Linked DNA regions of Mus musculus. The protein of the gene in region 1 purifies or fractionates together with the protein of each later gene. This does not show direct contact. Links are inferred from orthologs where the notes say so. Each region holds a gene or a part of one and is shown on either strand. Other genes may lie near its edges. The genes, in order: Anapc2, Anapc11, Anapc4 and Anapc7.

What was found.
Region 2: the proteins of Anapc2 (region 1) and Anapc11 purify together in Homo sapiens (affinity purification with western blotting; 7 studies listed by BioGRID and IntAct, with this or other methods). This does not show direct contact. The link is inferred for Mus musculus from reciprocal best matches to the Homo sapiens genes ANAPC2 and ANAPC11.
Region 3: the proteins of Anapc2 (region 1) and Anapc4 purify together in Homo sapiens (affinity purification with western blotting; 12 studies listed by BioGRID and IntAct, with this or other methods). This does not show direct contact. The link is inferred for Mus musculus from reciprocal best matches to the Homo sapiens genes ANAPC2 and ANAPC4.
Region 4: the proteins of Anapc2 (region 1) and Anapc7 fractionate together in Homo sapiens (co-fractionation; 6 studies listed by BioGRID and IntAct, with this or other methods). This does not show direct contact. The link is inferred for Mus musculus from reciprocal best matches to the Homo sapiens genes ANAPC2 and ANAPC7.

Annotation. Positions count from the first base shown.
Region 1 is NC_000068.7:25,281,399-25,287,198, reverse strand, and holds the end of Anapc2 (anaphase-promoting complex subunit 2), read right to left. Parts: intron 2,638-5,800; coding exon 2,508-2,637; intron 2,263-2,507; coding exon 2,027-2,262; intron 1,949-2,026; coding exon 1,736-1,948; 3' UTR 1,283-1,735; downstream 1-1,282. UniProt on the Homo sapiens protein: Together with the RING-H2 protein ANAPC11, constitutes the catalytic component of the anaphase promoting complex/cyclosome (APC/C), a cell cycle-regulated E3 ubiquitin ligase that controls progression through mitosis and the G1 phase of the cell cycle.
Region 2 is NC_000077.6:120,604,330-120,609,678, reverse strand, and holds the end of Anapc11 (anaphase-promoting complex subunit 11), read right to left. Parts: intron 4,399-5,349; coding exon 4,253-4,398; 3' UTR 1,481-4,252; downstream 1-1,480. Other genes in the region: Npb (neuropeptide B isoform 1 precursor), read right to left, coding at 736-864, 940-1,170. UniProt on the Homo sapiens protein: Together with the cullin protein ANAPC2, constitutes the catalytic component of the anaphase promoting complex/cyclosome (APC/C), a cell cycle-regulated E3 ubiquitin ligase that controls progression through mitosis and the G1 phase of the cell cycle.
Region 3 is NC_000071.6:52,843,435-52,848,783, reverse strand, and holds part of Anapc4 (anaphase-promoting complex subunit 4), read right to left. Parts: intron 5,298-5,349; coding exon 5,193-5,297; intron 3,461-5,192; coding exon 3,377-3,460; intron 2,153-3,376; coding exon 2,066-2,152; intron 794-2,065; coding exon 729-793; intron 191-728; coding exon 148-190; intron 30-147; coding exon 1-29. UniProt on the Homo sapiens protein: Component of the anaphase promoting complex/cyclosome (APC/C), a cell cycle-regulated E3 ubiquitin ligase that controls progression through mitosis and the G1 phase of the cell cycle.
Region 4 is NC_000071.6:122,431,679-122,437,027, reverse strand, and holds part of Anapc7 (anaphase-promoting complex subunit 7), read right to left. Parts: intron 4,288-5,349; coding exon 4,176-4,287; intron 3,645-4,175; coding exon 3,491-3,644; intron 1,510-3,490; coding exon 1,367-1,509; intron 1-1,366. UniProt on the Homo sapiens protein: Component of the anaphase promoting complex/cyclosome (APC/C), a cell cycle-regulated E3 ubiquitin ligase that controls progression through mitosis and the G1 phase of the cell cycle.

The DNA.
Region 1 (5,800 bases):
GCACAGTTGAACGCAGTGGCCCTAATCACAAGGACATCCCTGCCGGCAAACACGCGTACCCTTCTAGGGTTGGTCTTTAAGGAACAGCTAGTAGTTCCTGATATGGGCTTCAAATTGGTTGAATGATAATGAGAACCAAAACCTCTGGTCTTTAAGACACATGCACAAACTTAGTCCAAAGGAATGCAGAACAGAAGGTGTGCCTGAGGCCCAGGGCTGGCACTGTCACCCTGCCAAGCCAGCCTAGCAAGTTTATATCCTGGTTAGGACAAAGACACACCCGTCTGTGGCCTGGTGGTATGAACCAGATAGGAACACTTGGTGGGGGGATCATCAGGGCCCCTGCTGCTACCACAACAGGGAGGAGCAGTTCTTGTAGCAATGGCACTTAAGTGGGGGTAGGAAGCAGAGACTCAGGACTGGCAGCTCGAGGAGAGCAAACCTCATTTCTGAAGTACTGTGACCAAGGCTTCCTAGATTTCTGGGAAGCCTTAGGCTATGACCAAGGTTGTGTGCCTAATTCCTGCCTCCACCCTTTAAAATCTGAGGCAAGATGATCTCTGTAGAACAGGAAGGGTGGAGTGAGACCTCTGAGGGGGACTACCGCTCAGAACCCACACCAGAGCTAGTAGCTGATAATGAGAGGTGGTGGTTCTGCAGCACAGACTGGGCTTGAGGGGACTGGGAAGGGACTAGGGGTAGTGGCAGCAGCCCAAGCTAGGTGTGGCTTGTGGCCTGGGATCCACCTTGGGCAGGATCTGGGTGTGTAAGCAATGATTCCAAAGGGCTTTTGTTTCCTTTGAGGATGGCACCTCAGGTCAGTATTTCCTGACTGAAAACAGCTGTTCTGGGACAGGGACACAGGGGCCCATGCTGTGTCCCACCAGGTTCTGTTGTCTTAAGGCCAACCTGTCCTCAACAGGTGTCTGGGCACAGCCTGCCTACAAGGGTGGCTGAGCCCTATCTTGGAGGAAAAGGATTATTAAACTGTGTCCTGGGTTCTCTTCTTGTCCCCACCCTCTTCCTGTACTTCTGACAGCATCTCTGGGGGACCTGAAAGAGTCTGAGTACATACTTGTAAGCTCCAAGAAGTGTGGCCAGTAGAGAAAAGAGGACAAAGGACTAATACGCCCCTGGCCCCCAGCATATGTCCTTAGGCTGACCTTGACTGCTAGACACAGGTGTGCACTTGACTCAGGTTGCCTCACCTGAGGATCTCATCGAGTGCAAATGTACTAACAGCACAAAGCCTTACATTGATTCCACAGATGCCACACACAAGTGAAGGACCAAGAGTTCCTTTTAATGGCCACAAAAGCAGGATGGGGCCAAAGTCTAACTCGGGAGACTCTGAGCTGCCAACCCTATTCACTCTTGCTGAAACAGGTCCCAGCATATTCTAAGACAGGCTACAGGAGATAGCTTTAGGGTAATCTATTGCCCAAACATACAAGCTTAGGCTGGGGTAAGCCTGGCTTCTTGGGTGGCTCAGTTACCTGCTGCTGGGAATCCAGGCCCTGTAGGGTTATGGTTGGGTGGCTATAGAGGGCAAACCTGTTTGTATTCATGGGATCCAACAAAATACATGAAAGGATGAGCCAATATGCTTTAATTTGTTCTGTGGGTGTTAGGCAGGGAACGGGCAGGGACTGGGCACAGGAACATGGAAATAGAAGCTGTCCATCTAGGGGTTGCACAGGCATGAATGCTGTAGTCAGAGCCTGGAAAGGGAACATCAGTTGGAATTCTTAGGCAGGCGGTAGACACCTGCAGAATAGATGAGCTGCTGGTCTCGGACCTTCTTCTGCAAGTAGCCCTGCAGCTCCTGCAGGTCAATCTCAGCCAGCGCAGGGCCAGTCATTACAAACATCCGGAGCATGCTGTAGATACGCTCCAGAGAGAGGCTCTCTAGGTTGGTTAACATGGCCTGGATGTATGCCCAGAAGAGCTAGGAACAGAAGCCAGGCATGGTTAGTTGTCCACTTATTTGGCCCACCCCAGCCCAATGTGGAAATGGCCAACGTACCAGTAGCTCCTCTTCCTTCTGGTCAGCCTGGGAGGCCATGCCTGAGTCACTCTCATCATCACTGTCAATCAGCACCATGTTGTCCCTATCCTGAGGCCGCTCTTCCTCAATGACAGAGAAAGTGCCTGGAGGTTCCTCCCGCAGCACACCCTGTTGCAGCCACACTGACATGCGTCTTCGAAGCAGTGCCACAGGCATCTTCACCACCTTGCTCAGTTCCTCCAGGGTCCAGCTGGCTGTGTGCAGAGCCATAGGATGCAGGTACCGAAGATTATACCTGCTCCAATACCTGTTAGCTAGCTGGACCCCCAGACGCACGTGGATTGTCCTGTGTAACTCATAGGTAAAAAGAATGGTTGCTACCCCTACACTCTGCTGGGGGCTGGGGAATCTGGCATGTTACCTTATAGCCCATCAGATTATAGCAATAGCCCCAAGGTAGTGTAGTCAAAGCAGAGCAGATATGGTTCTAGGGACTCACCTTGGTTCTGGAAATACAGCAAGACCACTGCCTGTACTGGGGTCACCGCAACAGACAGGGTGCGGTCAGCAAGCTCCACATCCATTGTCACCAGGCCCAGGGTGTGCTTCCAACTAAGTGTCCGCATAGCCTGGGCAGGAATCATCAATAACAGTCCAGTGGGTTCCAGGCAGGTCCAGATGAACAAGGCATAGGCTCATATGCCATGCTACCAAGCATGGAATGGCTCTTGCACCAATGCCATTCCTGGCAGGTAGGTAGTCAACAGCAAGACCAGGAGACCTGATTGGAGTCCCTGGCTCCTGAACAACCATGATATAACTGCTGATAAATTGTGTCCCTCTCATGTCTCAGTACCTTGGAACATGAGTTATTTGCAAAGAGAGTTAATGTAGATGTAATTAGTTAAGAAGAGGTCATCCTGGAGTAGGGTAGCCCTTAAGGCACAGAAGGGAGTGGTTATGAGAGGCATAAAGTATGCTGACATATCAAAAGCTGGGAAAGCAAAAGAGTAGTTTTTTAGAGGCAACAGGAGGAGCCCAGTCCTGCCAACACCCCAACACTGGACTTCTATTTCCCAGAACTAAAACATTTTTCTGTTGTTTAAAACCACTCAGCCTGTGACTTTGTCTTCTGTCTGTCTGTCTGTCTGTCTGTCTGTAAGACAGGGTTTCTCTGTGTAGCCCTGTTAAAAAGGTCATAATAAGTGAAGCTTCTGCTGTATAGATGGCACATGCCTTTAATCCCAGCACTTGGGAGGCAGAGGCAGGTGGAGCTCTGTGAGTTCGAGGCCAGCCTGGTCTACAGAGTGAGTTCCAGAATAGCCAGGGCTACACAGAGAAGCCCTGTCTAAAACAGAAAAAAAAAAAAAAAAAAAAAGGATGATTCTGGTTCTATGTAGGGATACTGCTCTAAAAACACCTAAAATATAGAAGTTGTTTGTACAATGGGGAAGCACATGAAGGTTAAACCTTAGGTTGCTACAGTTAACTGGCACGACATGGAAGATGCAGATGATGCTGGTGAAGGCTCAAGGAAGGATAAGAGCTATTGCCCATACTATAGAGAATAATGCTGGTAGAGATGAGGGCACTGAGAGGACCTGCTGCTGAGAGCTCAGATAGAAACGATGAGCAAACACTAGACACTGGGGGAGCTGGCAGAGAACTACCAGCCTGTAGCTAGATGTTTGCTGACATGAGTGTGATTTGTAGATCCACCCGGAACACGTAGCATATCCAGGAACATACCCCTTCCCTCACTTTCTTTTCTTCATTTTTTAAATAAAAGACAGAGCCTTCCTCTATAGCTGAATTGCCTTGAAACTTGTTATATACAACACGCTAGCCTCAAACTAGCAGTGCTGCTGCTGTGCCTGCCTCCAAGGCTGGGGTGACAGGCATCACCAGCACACTTGGCTCAGGATCACAGTCACTTGATAAATTGGATATTGTACACTTCATGGAAAGCACCAAGATTTTGGGTGTTATGTCAGCAGCAATGCTGACAGTCTGAATGCAGTGACAGAGGTACAGGAGAGTGCACACAGGGCTGCCAGGAAAGCCAAGGGCACCACCAAGGCCTGAGCCACACTGTCAACTCTGCTTTCCGTGGTTCAGATTTGCTTTAGGCTCATGATCCTTCTTGCTGCCTTTGGGAACACCCTCTTCTGAACTGGGCTTGTTTTAACAATGTGCTTTGGATCAAAACAACCTCACAGCATCAAGGTGGAGACGAAACCTACTTCAGATGGATACGGTTTTTTTTTTTTTGGGGGGGGTCCTCACTATATAGCTAGGCTATATAATGAACCACCACCCTTCTGCTTTAGTCTCCTGAGTGCTAGGATCATAGATAGGCACCACCCATCTAGATTAGAAGAGATTTTTAAGAACTGATGCTGAAGTGGTTAATTTTGGAGATATTGGCTAATTTTCTCATGTAAAGACTATTAGTTTTAGAACCACAGGCTGCCATGGGCCAAACTGTATCTCTTCAAAGAGATAGTAAGTAAAGCCCAGGACACTGACTCTAGTGACACTGTAAGTCCTATCTCCAGGGTCCTTAATCTGATATAACTAGTATCCCAAGAAGAGGGAAACAGACATAGAGAAAACTTGGACATAAAGATATGCATTTACCACCTGGGCAGTGGTGGCGCACGCCTTTAATCCCAGCACTCAGGAGGCAGAGGCAGGCGGATTTCTGAGTTGGAGGTCAGCCTGGTCTATAGAGTGAGTTCCAAGACAGCCAGGGCTACACAGAGAAACCCTGTCTCAAAAAAACAAAAACAAAATAAAGAAAAAGGCCATTTACTTAGATCTGCCAGGGCTACTGCAAGAGGCAGGAAGGATCGTTTCCCTTAGAGCATTCTGGGGCAATACAATGCAGTAATACATTTCTAATCTGGTAACCCTGTACTTTGCAGTGTCTCATTGAGGTGGCACCCGGGACACTGATTCCTTTGCTCTAGTGGCCACCTGATGGTCTGAGACCCTCCAGGACCCCTGTAGCTCTTAAGGGAGAAGTGTACCAGTAAACTCACTTTACAGATAGAAAAGGAGGCAGTACCAGTGGCTTCCCCCAGTTTCAGCCAGTTTAGCTTCCCTAACACTGGTTCTAAAGCCATGACCTGCAAAAGGGTTACAATATACAGGCTGCACAGTCGGTCACCCACAGACCCAGCCAGATCCTTTAGGAGCTTGGCTGATGAAAGATAGTGGAATTGTTGCCACAGGCCTGACCTCTTAGCACAGGGGTTTGCCAGAGCCATTCCAGTATCAGCAAAAATTAAGATAAATGACACTAGCATATGGCCATCCTAACTATTTGGATGTGATCAACAAGATGTGACTAAGCCGCGGCACGCCTTTAATCTTAGCACTTGGGAGGCAGAGGCAGGTGGATTTCTGAGTTCGAGGACAGCCTGGTCTACAAAGTGAGTTCCAGGACAGCCAGGGCTACACAAAGAAACCCTGTCTCAAAAAAGAAAAGAAAAGAAAAGGAAAGGAAAGGAAAGGAAAAAGAAAAGAAAAGAAAAGAAAAGAAAAGAAAAGAAAAGAAGAGGGAAAAGAAAAGAAAAGAAAAGAAAAGAAAAGAAAAGAAAAGAAAAGAAAAGAAAAGAAAAGAAAAGAAAAGGAAAGAAAGATGTGACTAAGCCTCTGGGCAGTGGTGGCACACATCTTTAATCCCAGCACTTGGGAGGCAGAGGCAAGCAGATTTCTGAGTTTGAGGCCAGCCTGGTCTACAGAGTGAGCTCCAGGACAGCCAGGGCTATACAGAGAAACTCTGTC
Region 2 (5,349 bases), on another chromosome or scaffold:
TGCCCACTTGGCTCTGTGGCCCAGAACATTGGGGGGGGCGGGGGGGGGGGCCAGGCAGGCCACTGAGCCCTGTTATCCCTCTGAAAGGGTGGGGCCAGGCCAAGCTTCTACCAGCGCAGTGGGTGGATCTAAGGGCTCCCGTGAAGTCCCGCCCTTGCACAGAGTCTGCACACCCCAGTGATCTGTCGCGCACACAGTAGCTATGTCCTTCAGGGCCTTTGGGAGGGGCTTCGCCAGGGGTGAGGCAGGACTCCGAGCAGGGCTTTCTAAAAGAACCTTGAGCTGACATTGTGGCTCTGAAAGACTGAGCAGCAGGAGCAGGGTCTGAGGATGCTCTGGGGGTGGTTTTAAATGGCATGCAAGAACTATCTATGCCCAGTGCCTACTGCTTAAGTAGGGGGACCACCTGTTCAGACTCTGGAGTCAGGGTGGAGGCTCTATCCCCTTTCTGGCTTTGTGGAAGAGGAAAAGAGCCAGCCAGGGCACAGAAGGGAAGTGGAGCAATCATCACCCCAGGGACCCGCTCAGCCAGGCACCCACTTGTCAGGGTCTCTGCGCCATCTCCTCCAGCAACCCTTAGCAGAGACAGTTTTGCTTCTTTATTAATTTAGCCATTTGCTATGGAGCATGGTGGGAGCTAGGGGCCAAACCCACACAGGGTCTGTGCTACTTCAAGCAAGACTGGGCATATGGGGGTTGGGGAGAGTCACCGGCCGCAGGGTTGGGGTTCAGGGCTCAGGTGCTCTGGCAATCAGTCTCGTGCAGCGACAAGAAGACGTCCGCTTTACACTGGAAAGTCCCTCGGCTGTTGAGTTGCCGCTGGCAGCTCTGCAGGTTCGGGGTCACATCTTTGACACACAGGGCCTGGGTAGGCGGTGGAGGCTGAGGGCCCGCCCCTGTCCCACCAGCTCCCGCCACCCATCGCCTGCTTGCACTCACAAGGCTCCTTACGCTGGGGCGCATCTCTAAATTGCGCAGAGGTCCGGTTCCCACCCGGAGTGCTGGAGACTCGGAGCGTCGCGTGGACGGGAACCTGTGGAAACTCGACAGTAGCCCCGAGGCGCGGCCCACCGAGTAGTGGTGGGGTCCCGCCGCGGGCTTGTACCACGCGAGGGCTGGCGGCAGGAGCAGCGCCAGGGCAGCGGCCACCAGCGTCCTACACCGGGCCATGGAGCTGTGACAGGGGCAGGCAGAATGTAGCGACTGAAGTCTGTGAACCAGGCTTTATATTTACAATGGGGGCGGGGGACAGAGGCAGGGAGGGGGATGAGGAGGAGCGGGCGACAGAAAGGAGTGGCGCACAGACTGCAAGTGGTAAATCAGTGGGATCTCACACCCTGCGAGATGGGGCAGAGGGCCCGTTCCTCCCTCAAGTGGAACTGTCCTTTTACTGACCAGATGTATCAACTTCCAAGGGTGGAATGTGGAACTGTCTTAGGGCACTATTACTGTGATGAAACACCATGATCAAAAGTGACTTGGGGAGGAAAGGGTTTATTTGGTTTACATATCCTGAGTCACAGTCCGCTGTAGAAAGCCAAGGCAGGAACTCCAATGGGACCGAGGTGGAAGCTGATGCAGGGGCCATGGAGGGGTGCTGCTTACTCTCAGGGCTTCCTCAGCCTGCTTTTTTACCGAACCAGGATCACCAGCCCAGGGATAGCACCACTCAAAATCTGCTGGGCCCTCCCTCATCATTCGCTAATTGATTTTTCCAAGCTGGAGAGATGGCTCAACAGTTAAAAGCACTAACTGCTGTTCCAGAGGACACAGGTTGGATTCCCAGTACCATGCGCAGGTGGCTCACAGGGCAGTTCACATCTGTCTGGAACTCTAGTTCCAGGGGTCAGATGCCTTCTTCTGGCCTCTATAGGCACTGGGAGAATGCATGTATGCACAGAAACGCTTGCAGGCAAAACATCCACACACATAAAATGTAAAGACATTATAAAGAGGAAGAAAGAAAATGTCCTACAGGCCTGCCCTCAGCCTGATCTTACGGAGGCATTTTCCCAACTGAGGATCACGCCTCTCAGAGGACTCTAGTTCACATCAAGTTAACATAACATCAGCCACCACAGGGGCCTTGCTTATTCTTTGGTCCTGTCTAGGCTCACCAACAGGGTCTCACTCTATAACCTATATTGGCCTCGAACTTGGAGAAAATAACTCATCTTGCCAATGCAACAAGGTTGGAGTTGTTTTGGTGTGGTGCTCACGGTGGAAGACTCTGATGCTGGGCTTGCCCTTTCTGAGGAGAAGTGTTGCGCTCAGGCTCCAACCTTCAGAAAAGCCTGGGCAAGCAACTCTGGACCCTAGGGGCAAGTAACTGCCCTGCCCACGCTACACCAGTGGGTATGGCCTAGGAACCGTCCCCACCTGTACTTAGCAAACAGTGACTCGAATACTGGACACAGGAGGGTAACATGTAAGAGACTTGTGGTATGTGCAGGAGCCAGAACATGAATAGGACTGTGTCTGGCCACCCAGGGCAGGCACAGGTGGATTAGAGCAGAGAGAGCTTCCTGAGGTCAGTGGTGTAGGCTTCCTCCTCCAAGGCCTCCTGCTCCCACATGGAAAAGGGGCTTAGGCTGAGCACAAGCTGCAGTGCTCGGTACATTGCTGTCCTGACTTTTCTGGAGAAAGCTGGTGGAAGAACAATGGAGTAGGAAGGGGAGGAGCCAGGGGTCCCATTTGCAAGCAGCCCAAGGTTAGTTATGGCTTTCTCATCTCTAGAGAGCGGACATGCTACATGGGTGGAGTTGACCCTGAGGAAAGGCTGCTGACACCGTGAGACAACACACCAGGAAGAACCTCAGTGGTAAGTGAAGGCCATGAAGGATTCTGAGGTTAGCCCGGGAACAGAAGCACTCAGGAGCACTGCCAACTGCACAGGAAGTTGTTTCAGAGAGGATGGCCCGGAATGAAGTCCCAGAGAATGTTCCTAGAAGAGGCATGGAGGACCCTCCAAGAAAATGAGCAGACTGGAGATGGAAGGCACAAGCTGAACAAGCCAGGGTACACCATACCTGTCAGCTCAAGGACTTCCAAATCCACCAATCCTGGCTCCCCTCTGCAGCTCTTGGGGGTCCTTACCCCTGAAATGGCCCTCTTCACTCCTGATAGCTGTGCCAGTTCCAGGATTAGCATGCTAGAGATAGCCAAGTGGTATGAAATTCTAGTCTCCCAGAAGCACAAGTCTGCTTCAAATAGGAGGACTTCAGTGATACCACACACAGTGGGCAACAAGTCTCAGAGCCAACAAACATGTAGATGATCCAGATTGCTTGGAACCAGCCCCTAGTAGTCTACTTCCCCGGCTGTGGAGCACACAGGGAGTGCAGAGGTGTTACTGGGAAGAGTCAGAGAGTGAGGACAAGGTGGTAAGTTGGCCAGAACTCCTAGATGCCAGCCTAAATTGGTTTCTACCCAGGAGCTTAACACATCAGGGCTGGGCTACTGTTTTCCTGATAACTGGTAATCCCTAGCTCTAGGGAATAATAATAGTTTCCAAATGGCCTTCCTTCCCTAAGACACCAGAGGACCCACATCCTCCTACACTATATCTGCCTTCATCCAAGGAAGACACAAGAGACTGAAAAGCTTGCTGCAGTTGTCCCCGAAGATTATCTGGACATGAATGACCACTGCCTGCTTAGCTATTTCTTCCTCCAACCAAATAGCTCTGGAAGAGCAGCTGCCAGCTTTGCTCAGCTAGGGCTGGGGATGGGACGAGATCTCGGGACTCCCAGTAGACTAGGGCAGCTGATGGGCTACGTGCACCCTGCCTGTCTCCTTGACACAAACACACCCTAAGGTCTTTGCCCAGCTTGGCTCTGCCTGAATCTCTCCTCCTCCTCCTGTCTGAGCTGTGACTCAGATTACGATGAAGGTTTTGGCCATTATTTCATCAAGCTGTTTATTGGAGTTTTCATAGCAAAACATGCTGCTAGCAGCATCAGTATGTCAAGAAACCAGGCAAGCAGAGGCCTCCAGCACGGCTCGGAACTGTAATGAGTTTTACTTATTGAATAAAGTGTCAATGTGATGGGAAAACAAAACAGTCAGCAAAGCTCCTTTCAACCTTGTCCCAGCCAAACAGAAAGCATCCTTGTCCCCGGCACAGACCGAGATCTCTGGGCACCACTGTGCTGTGTGGAGGGGACTTGGGGTGCTGTATCTGGGGGAGGGGAGGGAGGGAAGGGGCTGAGCCTGGCACAGCACAGGAGAGGGAAGTGGCACGGCACGGGCTTCACTCTTTGAACTTCCACTCCTGGCGACACATGGGGCAGTGCTGCTGCACCTGCTGCGCATTCAGCCACTTGAGGATGCAGTGCATGTGGAAGCAGTGGGAGCACTGTCCCCACACGAGGGGGCAGTCATCACCAGGCACCTTACCTGCAAGAAGGAGAGACTGGCCTTAGGTAAAGAACCAGATAAAACACACAGAGCATGTGACAAGCCAGGCAGGCACCTCTGGGACATTAGTCAACAGCTCTAATCACTGGCAGAGAGCCTCTCATTCTCAGAGGAGACAAAAAGTAGGGCTGTGACCCAAATCATCCCCAGACATGGCCCACGGCATTACAGATCTGCAGTGACTCCCTCTATAGCAAGTGAAGTGTCCTCAGAGGGGAGAGGCCTGGCCCACTAGGTTCTGGTCCCTTTCTCACACCTTTCTGTGAAAAACTGACCCGTAATACCAACGACTCACAGCCTGAGTGGAGAACTCTTTGTCTTCATTACAGGCATCCTGAAACCTGGAAAGTCTCTTCCCTGGACATCAGAGATCTACTGCACTATGGATCTTGGGGACACTGGTGTTTATGGGACAGTTACTAATAGAGGACTTATCAGCACCTGTTACCTTCTTCATCTGAAACCTCAACTCCAAAGAGCACTGACTGCTCTTTCGGAAGTCTTGAGTTAAAATCCCAGCAACCACATGGTGGCTCACAACCATCCATAATGAGAAACAAAATAAAGAACCTATGGGCCGGAGTGAACATGGGGGGGCCAGAGCAAGTGGGACCTGGAGCAAGTGGGGGCCGGAGCAAGAGGGAGAAATGGAAAGTGGGGGGAGAAAAGAAGCTGGACAGAACCTCTGAAGCTGACCTCTGGCTGACAAACAGATAGGCACATAGACACACAGACACATACACATACATGCAGACACACATACATAAACATATGCACAGGCACACACACACTGAGTTCAAGGCCAGCCTGGTCTAAAGTGGGAGTTTCAGGACAGCCAGGGCTACACAGAGAAACACTATCTCAAAATAAAAAAAATAAAAAAAAAAAGCAAGCAACCACAACTCCTACTTCCACCCCAAGCCAGGGGGC
Region 3 (5,349 bases), on another chromosome or scaffold:
TCTATAGACTGGCCAAGCTTTTTTAAGCCCTAATTAAAAGAAGAAAATACATTTAGCATGTAACTATGATACTATATGTCATTCCCAAAAAAGACCACTATTAAAAATGTGTTCACAGCCACTTAAACATATAGACTTTAACAGCACCTTCACTGTTAACTGGTTCATCAGGAGAGTCTGAAGTTCAGCACTGCAACAAAAAAGAAAGTATTTTAGTAATCTTTCCATTCAAACTCTGAATGTGCCATTTAAAACCTAAATTTCAAAGTACAAACAGGATTTTGGAACAAAATAATCATGAAGAAACAGCACCGGTCAAATGAGGACTGGACTGTGTTTATCCACAAAGAGACAGAAATGTCACAGTAAAGTCCAGAAATAAACCAATTATACACTTCTAAACATCAAGAAGGGATCACTGACTAGTACCCTGGAGAGTTATTTACCCAAGGTGCCAGAAGAAAAAGATTGTCTTGGCTACATAAAAGTTCTGGAATTTTATACATCCAATATACATACGCACATTCATACTTATATATACATACCAAATGATCGCATGTATATAAAAAGTTCATAGAAAATCCCCAAAACTGACATACATTTCTGGGGGCGAGGTCTTCTACCGGAATTTTGTATTTTATCTTTATAAAGGCAATAACTACCTTTGAGTAATTACTGTCAAGAGAAGAAGGGAAAGAGTCAGGGTGGGATCGTCCACGTGCGCTCACCTGGCTTTCCCCCACAGCAGCAAGTGCATGAACTCATCCTGCACTGACGTGGTTGTAGGTTTTTCCTAGATAAAATTTAAAAATTACATATTTATATTCATAAATATACTTATATTTATTTATATATTTAGTATATTTATATTATAATAAACATAAGCATATTTATTCAAAGTTATAGGGACATAATTTTAGTACAGCTCCACCCAGCTGTACCAAAGGGGAAACAAAGAGTCTGCCACAGTTTGGATGTGGCTTGTCCCCAGGGTCTCTCTGCTGAAGGCTTGCCCTTAAGGTGATGACACTGACATGGTAGGCTCTTTAAGTAGTAGCTGAGGATGGAAGGTGGCGAGTCAGTGAGAAGAAATGAAGTTGACACTCTGGGAACACTGGTTAGTTCTTCCAAGAGTGGTTGTTAGAAACAAGATTATCCACCCACACCGCCTGGCTTCCTGTGTCAGTGTGACCCCTATTAAACATGCTCTTGCCATGATGACACCTGATGAACCCTCCTCAACAGATGGAAAACAAATGATGCTACATAACCCTCAACTGTCAGAATCTAAAACTAAGAGCTAAAAAAAAATTCCTTTTTGATATATTACAAGCCACAGTACTGTTATTGAAACAGAAAACTGACTAATATATTCTTTTCACACCCTGCCCCTAAAAACTAAGGTTGTACTGAACCATCTAAAATAAAGATCTTAGCATTTTGCAAACCAAACTAATTTTTTTCTTTTTTTTAAAAAGATTTATATATTATTATACATAAGTATACTGTAGCTGTCTTCAGATGCACCAGAAGAGGGCGTCAGGTCTCATTACGGATGGTTGTGAGACACCATGTGGTTCTGGGATTTGAACTCAGGACCTTCAGAAGAGCAGTCGGTACTCTTAACCACTGAGCCATCTCTCCAGCCCCTAATTTTTTCTTTTAAGACTGTATTTTATAGAGTGAGTGTGTGTGTGTGTCTGTGCATGCACACACACAAATATAGGTATAAAAGGTATCCACAAAGGCTAAGGACATCAGATCCCTCTAAAGCTGTAATTGCAGTTGGATGTGAACCAACCAACTCAATCGTGGGCCCTCCACAAGGGCAGTAAATGAATTACTCAGGCAGCTCTCTGGCCTGCCACCTTCTCTTTGAGACAGGGTCTCATCCTATAGCCCACATCAACCTTGAATTTGTGGCAAACTTTCTGTCTTGTCTCTTCCAGTGTTGGGATTACAAAGTGAGCCGCTCTGCCCAGTTCTGACCCTCATATATCTCACAAAGTGGCAGACAGAATGAGCTCAGTATCTGCACAGGGAAGGTCAGTTAGGAGTACATTACCTGTACAAACTTGGTAAGACGGGAGTCCATCTGCATCAGAATTTCTTCCCATGCTTCACACATACATGTCAGTGACAAATTTATATACTATTAACAAAAAGAAAAGTACAGTAAAAAATATCAAAACAACATGCTATTGCATTCTTCTTTGGCAGAATTTACTTCCAACTACTCTTCTAACTCAATAAAGCTATAGGAAAAAATAAATACATGACTAAGCTTTGGTAATCACTTAATTAAGAAACTAAATTATCCAGTGATTTTTACAAATTTACAATGACACATTCCCAAGTTTGTATTTGGGAAAACAAGTGCTTTTTTGTATTTTACACATCCTGTCATGATGCTGCTTTGTTTAGGTACTTAACTGTCACACAGGATCCCTAAGAAAAAACAAACCTCTAGAAATCTTTAACAATAAGCAAAATAAAGACTGAGGTAAAACAAACAAAAGATTAGTACTTCTTTGTAGATGCTCCATCAGGGAAAACAGTCTAGCCTGGTCCCTGCCTTGTTCTAACAGAACAACACAGCAGAGAGAGTAAAACTGAGCTCAAAGCCTCCAAGTCTTTGAGAATCCTGCAGCCATCACCATGTGAATGCTCACAGGTAGGCAGGCTGGCCAGAGGATGCGGGAGCTGGAGCAGAGACATAGCCCTTCCAGCCTTGGAACATGTACCTGTTTGCATAACAAGTTTCTTTAAGGTGAACTACTCCAGGCACAGATGGATAGAACCTTCTGGATCACCCTAGCCAAACTGCTCGAGTACAGAACCATGAACTAACTTAGGATGGATTTATTATGAAAAAAGCTAAATTTATAAAGATTCTTTTTCTCTTTATAGATTTACTTATTCATTTCATGTGAGTGCATGGTCACTATCTTCAGACACAGTACAAGAGTACATCGGATTCCAATATAAATGGTTGTGAGCCACCATGTGGTTGCTGGGAATTGAACTCAGGACCTCTGGAAGAGCAATCAGTCCTCTTAAACGCTGAGCCATCCTTCTAGCCCATGAAGATACTTTTTGCACAATAACTTTTCTATAAAAAAAGTTTAAGTTACATTCTCATTATAAATAGTTTAGGAGATAAACAGGATTTTTTTCCCTTTTTTTTGGAGGCAGTTAACAGGGCTGGACAGGAGATTCTCAATTAAATTTTTGCTTTCACTTTATTAAGTATTATAAGAAGAGTAGTTTATAGCACTCCTACTGCAGGTAGCTTTACAACATGAACTTTCAATAGTTTTTCTTTATAAATCTTCCAGTAAAGAGTTAACATAGAGCAGGTCATATGGATGCGTACCTGTAAGAGAGCTGAAATGTGAGTAAACTTCCTGGCCATACGAGTTACTTCAGGTAAGAAGGAATACAGCAGATTGGTTTCAAGCTACAAAATAAAACAATAAATAAAATGACTCACAGGAGCATTTACTTCTTTTGAAGACAAATTATTCACATCCAGATTAAAAACAATCCCTTAGCTTAAAGAGTCTTTATCTAAATAACATGCCAGAAAATCTTAGAGCCCTGTCCCTTGAGTGTGGAAACCAGTAGGTGACCACCTCAGGATTTCCAACTGGGGCACAACTCTGAGTCATCCCTCCCTTCCTTGTAGCTACATATGCAGTAACTTATAGCACCATTATGACAACATTTAAAAACGACCACAGATTAATGTTAAAAACTTAGTGCAAGTAAAAAGGACTAAAGGTTATGGATTAATATGTGACTGTCAGTTAGTATGAGTCATATTTCAATGAGACCGGCATTGTTTGGCCTTGGTACAGATCTGTAATCACAGCATTTGGAAGGTCCAGGTAGGAGGATGAGGTGCAGGCATCAGGAGGAGGAAGAGGAGGAGAGGAGGAGGAGGAGAGGAGAAGGAGGTGGTGGTGCAGGCAGGAGGAGGAGGAGGAGGAGGAGGAGGCATAATGCAAGGTCATCTTCAGCTATGCGCAATGAGTTGGAGGCAAGCCTACATATTTCATGAGATCGAATTCAAAACTACAACAAAAAAACAAATCTATCACAAACCTCACAGAAAAAGGAAAATCACTTTACTAGAGCTCAGGCGCAAACTTGTTAATCAACAGTTTCTCAGCCTCACAAAAAAGAGCCAATGCAAGCAGCCATAGTCCCCAGCTCTTTGATGTTCTGAACAGACTGTGCAAATACCACACCACACATTCTTTTGGTCCTCCTTCTGAGAGTTCAGACATACTTAAAACACTGGGATAGCTCAGAAGAAACACTTGGAAAGATTTCCTAACAAAGCAAAGCTATAATATAAATATAAAAGCCCAAAGCCAGGTGTGGTGGCGCACGCCTTTAATCCCAGCACTCGGGAGGCGGAGGCAGGCGGATTTCTGAGTTTGAGGCCAGCCTGGTCTACAGAGTGAGTTCCAGGACAGTCAGGGCTTCATAGAGAAACCCTGTCTCGAAAAACAAAAAAACAAAACAAAACAAAACAAAAAAAAGCCCAGGCAGTATCCTAGTCTATAACACAAGCCAGTTTAAAAAAGATTTTTCCTTATTCTGAGTGATCATTTAATCCTTGTGGCAATGTGCTGAGAACACAAACCAGAACCAGAAAGCCTAGCATGACTTTCCAATTCTGTGGTGACTCTAAGTGAGCTCTACAGTTCCTCTTGTGCCCAAAATCTTATCTACAAATTAGATAAGTACTACCTATCCATTATATTGCTGTGTTTGAAGCACCTGTCACATTATGTAACCAATAAAATATAAGCTTTCATTACTAAGAGAGACAAAGACTAAAGAAAAAAATGAAACAAACTTCAGTACAAAGCTAAGCTGGTCAAATAACCAATTAGTAAGGCAATAACAGACTTTCAAACAGTCTTAACTATGAAAACTAAATGATAGTATATCAAGAAATAACATTCACTATAATAACACTCAATATACAAGATTTAGACATCCCAAGGAGACCTTCATGTTTTACTTATTACACTTCAGTGATATGAGTAGTTAAAACCCATAATTACATAATTGAGCGGGGTACAGCTCAATAGCAGAGAGCATGCTCTGCCCTGAGCTCAATTCCTATCACCAAGGGAAAATCATGTCCCTGACACTGGAATAGCTACAACACTCACCTGAAAATATGAAACTTCTGATTCGCCACCGCTGGAAACCTCTGTGACCACTGATAATGACTTCAAATCACTTGATAAACACAGAGCAATACAAGTTCCGGCAATCTGCAAAACAGTTATCACCATGCCAGATACATCTGCTATTACAGACAGGCTG
Region 4 (5,349 bases), on another chromosome or scaffold:
CCTCTCCATCCCTTCAAATCCCCATTACTCTCAGAGCAAGTTCATAGCCACACTCCTGCTCGCCTGGGCCCGGGTATGAACATCCAACACCAAGCTACCAATGCCACCAAGCTTGTATTCCTAAAACACTAAATTATTGTTTTCCTCTCTCTCTGTCTTTCTTCTTCCTCTTCTTTTGTTTGTTGTTGTTGTTGTTTCCAGACAGAGGTTCTCTGTGTAGCCGTGGCTATCCTGGAACTCACTCTGTAGACCAGCCTGACCTCAGAGCCCTGAGTGCTGGGACACCACGCCCTGGTCTGTTTCTTTAGTCTGGGTCTTCAGTGGTAGGTTGAGCTGAGCCTTTGACTCCTTTTTCCACCTCCCAAGTGCTGAGATCACAAGTGGGGTTGGACAGCTTGGAAAGAGGAATACACGCCAGAGGAGAACTTGTACAAACAAACACTCTAGATCTATTCCCACACTCAGTCACCCTTCTTGTTTGTTTGAGTCAGGGTTTCCCTGTGTAGCTAACCTCGCTCTCACAAGCCTGCTTCAGCCTGTTAGAATTATTGGTAACTTACTCTTTAGAATCTAAAGCCTGTTTATTATCCCGAGGCGCATTTTTCTGGTGACCTCTGTTGAGTCTTTACAAATTTCACTCACTGGCCCCACCGGCTTCTCAAGCCCCTGTGCCTTGTGCCTTCACTCCGCCCTGATGACACGGTAGGCACCTTCCCTCCCTCTATAGCCACTCCCCTGCTTCCTCAACATCATACAAGGACACAGTAAAACCAAAGCTCCTAGAAGGACATTAGGGTTCTCAGATGCCATAAGTCAGCCACATCACACATGTATTAACTCGCAGGGAGGTGGAGATGCCACAAAGGCCCTTACAAGAAGGCTAAGCAATGGTCTGTGAAGAGAAAACAGCCACTCAGAACAGAATTACCTAAGTGTTAAAAAGCCATGCCAGGATAGGAGAAAGAACCACTACAGGAAGCCTTACAAAAGCGGCTTGGAAACCAGGAGCAGAGATGAGCATGGTAGTACATACCTGTGAGCCAGGCACTTGGGAGGTGAAAACAGAATCAAGAAATCAAAGCCAAGTTCAAGGCTAACCTGCGCTACATGGACTATGTCTTCAAAAAAAAAAAGCGCGGGGGGGGGGGGGGGGGGGGCTCAGCAGCCAAGAGCATGCACTGTTCTTTGTAGATCCCCACATCAGAAGGGTCATAATTCTGACCCCTGGGAAACAAACATAACGCCTCTGACTTCCAAGAGCACCTGTCCTCACCTGTATGCGTACAAACACACACACACACACACACACACACACACACACACACACACAAAGCCTAAAAACAGTAACACACTCAGTCGGACTCACCTCTTATCAAGTAGGGATCCAGCATCTGGGCCTGCTCAAACTTGAGGACAGAGTTCTTGCTGTCCCCTGCTCTGAAGTACAGGTCGGCCAGGCTCCCCAGCAGGTCCACGTTGTCTCGCAGTAATGATTTTTTCTCTAGTGAACTTAAAAGATAAATACTAACCCTTAGACTCTGTTACAATCTGTTTTTAATCATTCCATCTGGGGGTGGGCTTACAGATGACATACTTTTCTATATGGGTGAAATTTTTGATAAAAAGGCTTGGGGGGGGGGGTGATTTTTGAAGTAGGGTCGCACTAAATTCCCCAGGTTAGCCTTGAACTCACGATCCTCCTACCTCCTCCTCCAAGTCCTGACAGTACACACAGGCACTACAACTCCTAACTATAATAGTAATAATTAAAGGAAGGAAACGTCAGTAAGGCAGTGAGCTGCCTCAGCAGGTTAAGAGCAGCACTTGCCACCAGGCCTGATGATCTGAGTTTGACCCTGGAACCTCTGTGGTGGAAGAGAACCGACACCTCCAAGTTGTCCTCTGACCTCCACACAAGCACGTGTGCCCACATACAACAAATAAACACAAATCTAATTTTTAAAACTTTTTTTTCCCCTGAGACAGGGTTTCTCTGTGCAGCCCTGGCTGTCCTGGAACTCACTCTGTAGACCAGGCTGGCCTCGAACTCAGAAATCCGCCTGCCTCTGCCTCCCGAGTGCTGGGATTAAAGGCATGCCTGGCCTAAAACTTTTTAAAGGACTGAGGTACAATGGACCTTAACCTCAGCTTTAAAGTCACACAGGGGTCTGGAAGAAGGCTCAGCAGTGAGAGCATCGTATGTCCCTGCAAAGGGGCCAGATCCATTTCCTAGCACTAGCAGAGCAGCTTACGGGTGACCGTGACTTCAGCTCAGAGAAGCTGACGCCCTCTCCTGGCCTCTGTTCACTATGCATGCACATGCCATGCAAACTACATGCAGACAGACAACCATCTATATACATGAAAGGAAATAAAATACTTAAAAGTCATATAATGATACTTTATATGCACATATCTCAAATATATCACTTAATATCTATAAAAACCTCTGTGGTTATAATTTTCTTTTTTGGAGACAGGGTTTCACTAAAGAGCCCTGGCAGGCCTGCCTCAGTCTCTTGAGCACTGAGGTTAAAAGTGCTCACTACCACAACAGCACGGTTATAATTTTTTAAACAAAAATGACTTTTAATACAGCATTCACTAGTGATAGCTACTTGTGACAAATAGGTAGGCAAGGAGGTACATGACAGATGACAGATAGGTAGGTGGGTAGTAGTTAGTTGATAGATAAATGATAGTTAGATGATAGATAGATAGATGCACACATGCATGCAGCCTTTGGTCCTAGAACTTTGTTTAAATAAATAAAAAGAAATCCCTAACTGCAAAGAGATCTAGCCTATGTCAGGTATACAGTAAACATGTCTACCAAGTCGAAAAGGCATGAACATGACACCCTCAGCAGTTTGCTCTTTTTTTTTTTAAAGACTTATTTATTACATGTAAGTACACTGTAGCTGTCTTCAAACACTCCAGAAAAGGGTGTCAAATCTCATTACAGATGGTTGTGAGCCATCATGTGGTTGCTGGGAATTGAACTCAGGACCTTTGGAAGAGCAGTCAGTGCTCTTACCGGCTGAGCCATCTCTCCAGCCCCCAGCAGTCTGCTCTTTAAGGAAGGCCATCTTCATATGAACAGTACAGAACTCAGTCCGGCTGTTCATTTTCACAGGTTCCAACAGTTTATTACATATGCAATCACTTAGTGCATTAGAAAAAAAACCTAACCCAAAGACAAATGCTGCAATGTCAAGCAGTAAGCAGCACCTAGCTTTTGTGTCACCAGCTATATCACACCTAGCTCTTCTGTGTCACCAGCTATATCACATCTCTAGATGAGGAAAGGGCTAAGATCCCTGGAGTCAGCCAGGCTTGGTGGCTCGTGCCTATAGTCCTAGCACTAGGGACACCTAGGCTGGAAGACTGAGGCAATTTCAAGGGCAACCTGGGTATGTAGTAAGATGTGACTTATCTCAGACTGTGCCTCCCACCAAAATAACCACTGAGTTGACACCTTGGCTCTCACCAGATGGTGTTGATTGCTCTCGAGTTGTCACCGGTGTGCACAAAAGCATACGCTTTAATCCACACGGACAGCCAGTCCAAGTTGGGCACAGTCTGGATCACATTCATCGTCATTGATGCCACCTCTGCGCCTTTCACAGACAGGGATAACAAACCTGGCCCCAAGAGCAAGAGAAACGTGAGGCACAGCACCCTCTTCCCACGGTGCAACCCCAGCAGCTACACAGCTGCCCTCCCTCCTCTAAGCAAGATACACACAACTCAAAGGTCAGCGCCTCAGGCATGCTCAAGCATTGCAGCCACTCAACTGTACCCTGTCCAAGACAGCGACTCCTCTAGTTCATAACCGACAGTGCTCAGAATGGTGTAAACTTACTCTATGCGCCATGAAGTCGGCTCAGTGGTGAAGAGCACTTGCTGGTCTTGCAGAGGATCCAAGTTTAATTCCCAGTACTCATGTCTACCACCATCCCCTAACTCCAGCTCTTGGGGCTCCAATGCCCCCCTCCAACCATTATGGCATTAGACACTACATACATACAGACATACAGACAAAACCCTCATTCACATTAACATAAAATTAAAATCTGAAAAAAAAACCCTGCTCTATCTAACCATAGTTGTGACTGAGAACCATCATCTAAGACTGCAAACACCCCAGGCACCAGGGAGAAAACTTTCTGTACCTAGAATGGCGTCAAGGGCCAAAGGGCACTGCCGCAGGACCTCCTTATAGCTTGTGACTGATGGGCGCTCCTGACCAGCCTTCTTGTACAGGTTTGCCAGCATCATGTTTATCTACACACACGAAACAGAGAACGGTAAAGCAAGAGTATCCGCACAGCAAACACTGCGCCGTGAGCGCGCGCTCATTTGATGCCCGACTACTATTCTACTTTCTAGCAGAAAAACCAACCCACAGCCCTGTGCAAATAAAGACCGGCTCCTTAAAACAAAGTACTATTATCCTTGTTTTTCTTAGCCATGTGATCCTCGCAAAACACCTCCTAATATCTGACCCAAAGATGCTGCCTCTGGGACATTGAGAAATGTTCCATAATTTTAGATACCTTGATTCAAGCAGATATATTTTAAGGATTTCTTTGATTTGTTTTTGAGACGGGGTGGGGGTGTTAGTGTGTAGACCAGGCTAGCCTGGAACTCATAAAGATCCAACTGCTTCTGCCTCCTAAGAGCTGGGATTAAAGGCATGTGTCACCAAAGGTTTTTTTTTTTTTCCAGACAGGGTCTTCTCTGTGTAGCCTCAGCTGTTGTGGAACTTGCTCTGTACACCAGGCTGGCCTCGAGATCCACCTGCCCTGCCTTTAAGTGTCAGGATTAAAGGTGTGCACCACTACCTCTAGCCAAGATTTACCGCTTACTACCTGACCTAAATGCTGGAAACTGAACTCAGATCTTCTGAAAGACTTGTGTATGTTCCTAACTGCTGAGCCATCTCTCCAGCCCAAGCAGAGGTCAATACTATTGCATAACAAAGTGAAGAAAATCTTTTAGTTTAGTTTATGTGCATAAATGTGTGTGTCTGCGCGCGCATGTGGAGGCTAGCAGAGGCGGAGGAGTCCCTGGAGCTGGAGTTACAGGTGGGTGCGAGCTGCTGATGTGGGTGTTGGGTTTCAAACTCTGGCCCCAGAAGAAGAAAAAACTTTTAACTCCTGAGCCATCTCTCAAGCTCCTCTTTTGTTTTTGGTTTTATGAGACAAGCTCTCGTGCAGCTCAAGCTGGCCTCAAACGCACTGCATACCTGAGGATGACGACCTTGAATTGCTGACCTTCGTGAATCACCTCTACATCCCAAGTGCAGGATACAGGCATGTAGCATTACATTATCTGGCTGGTTCT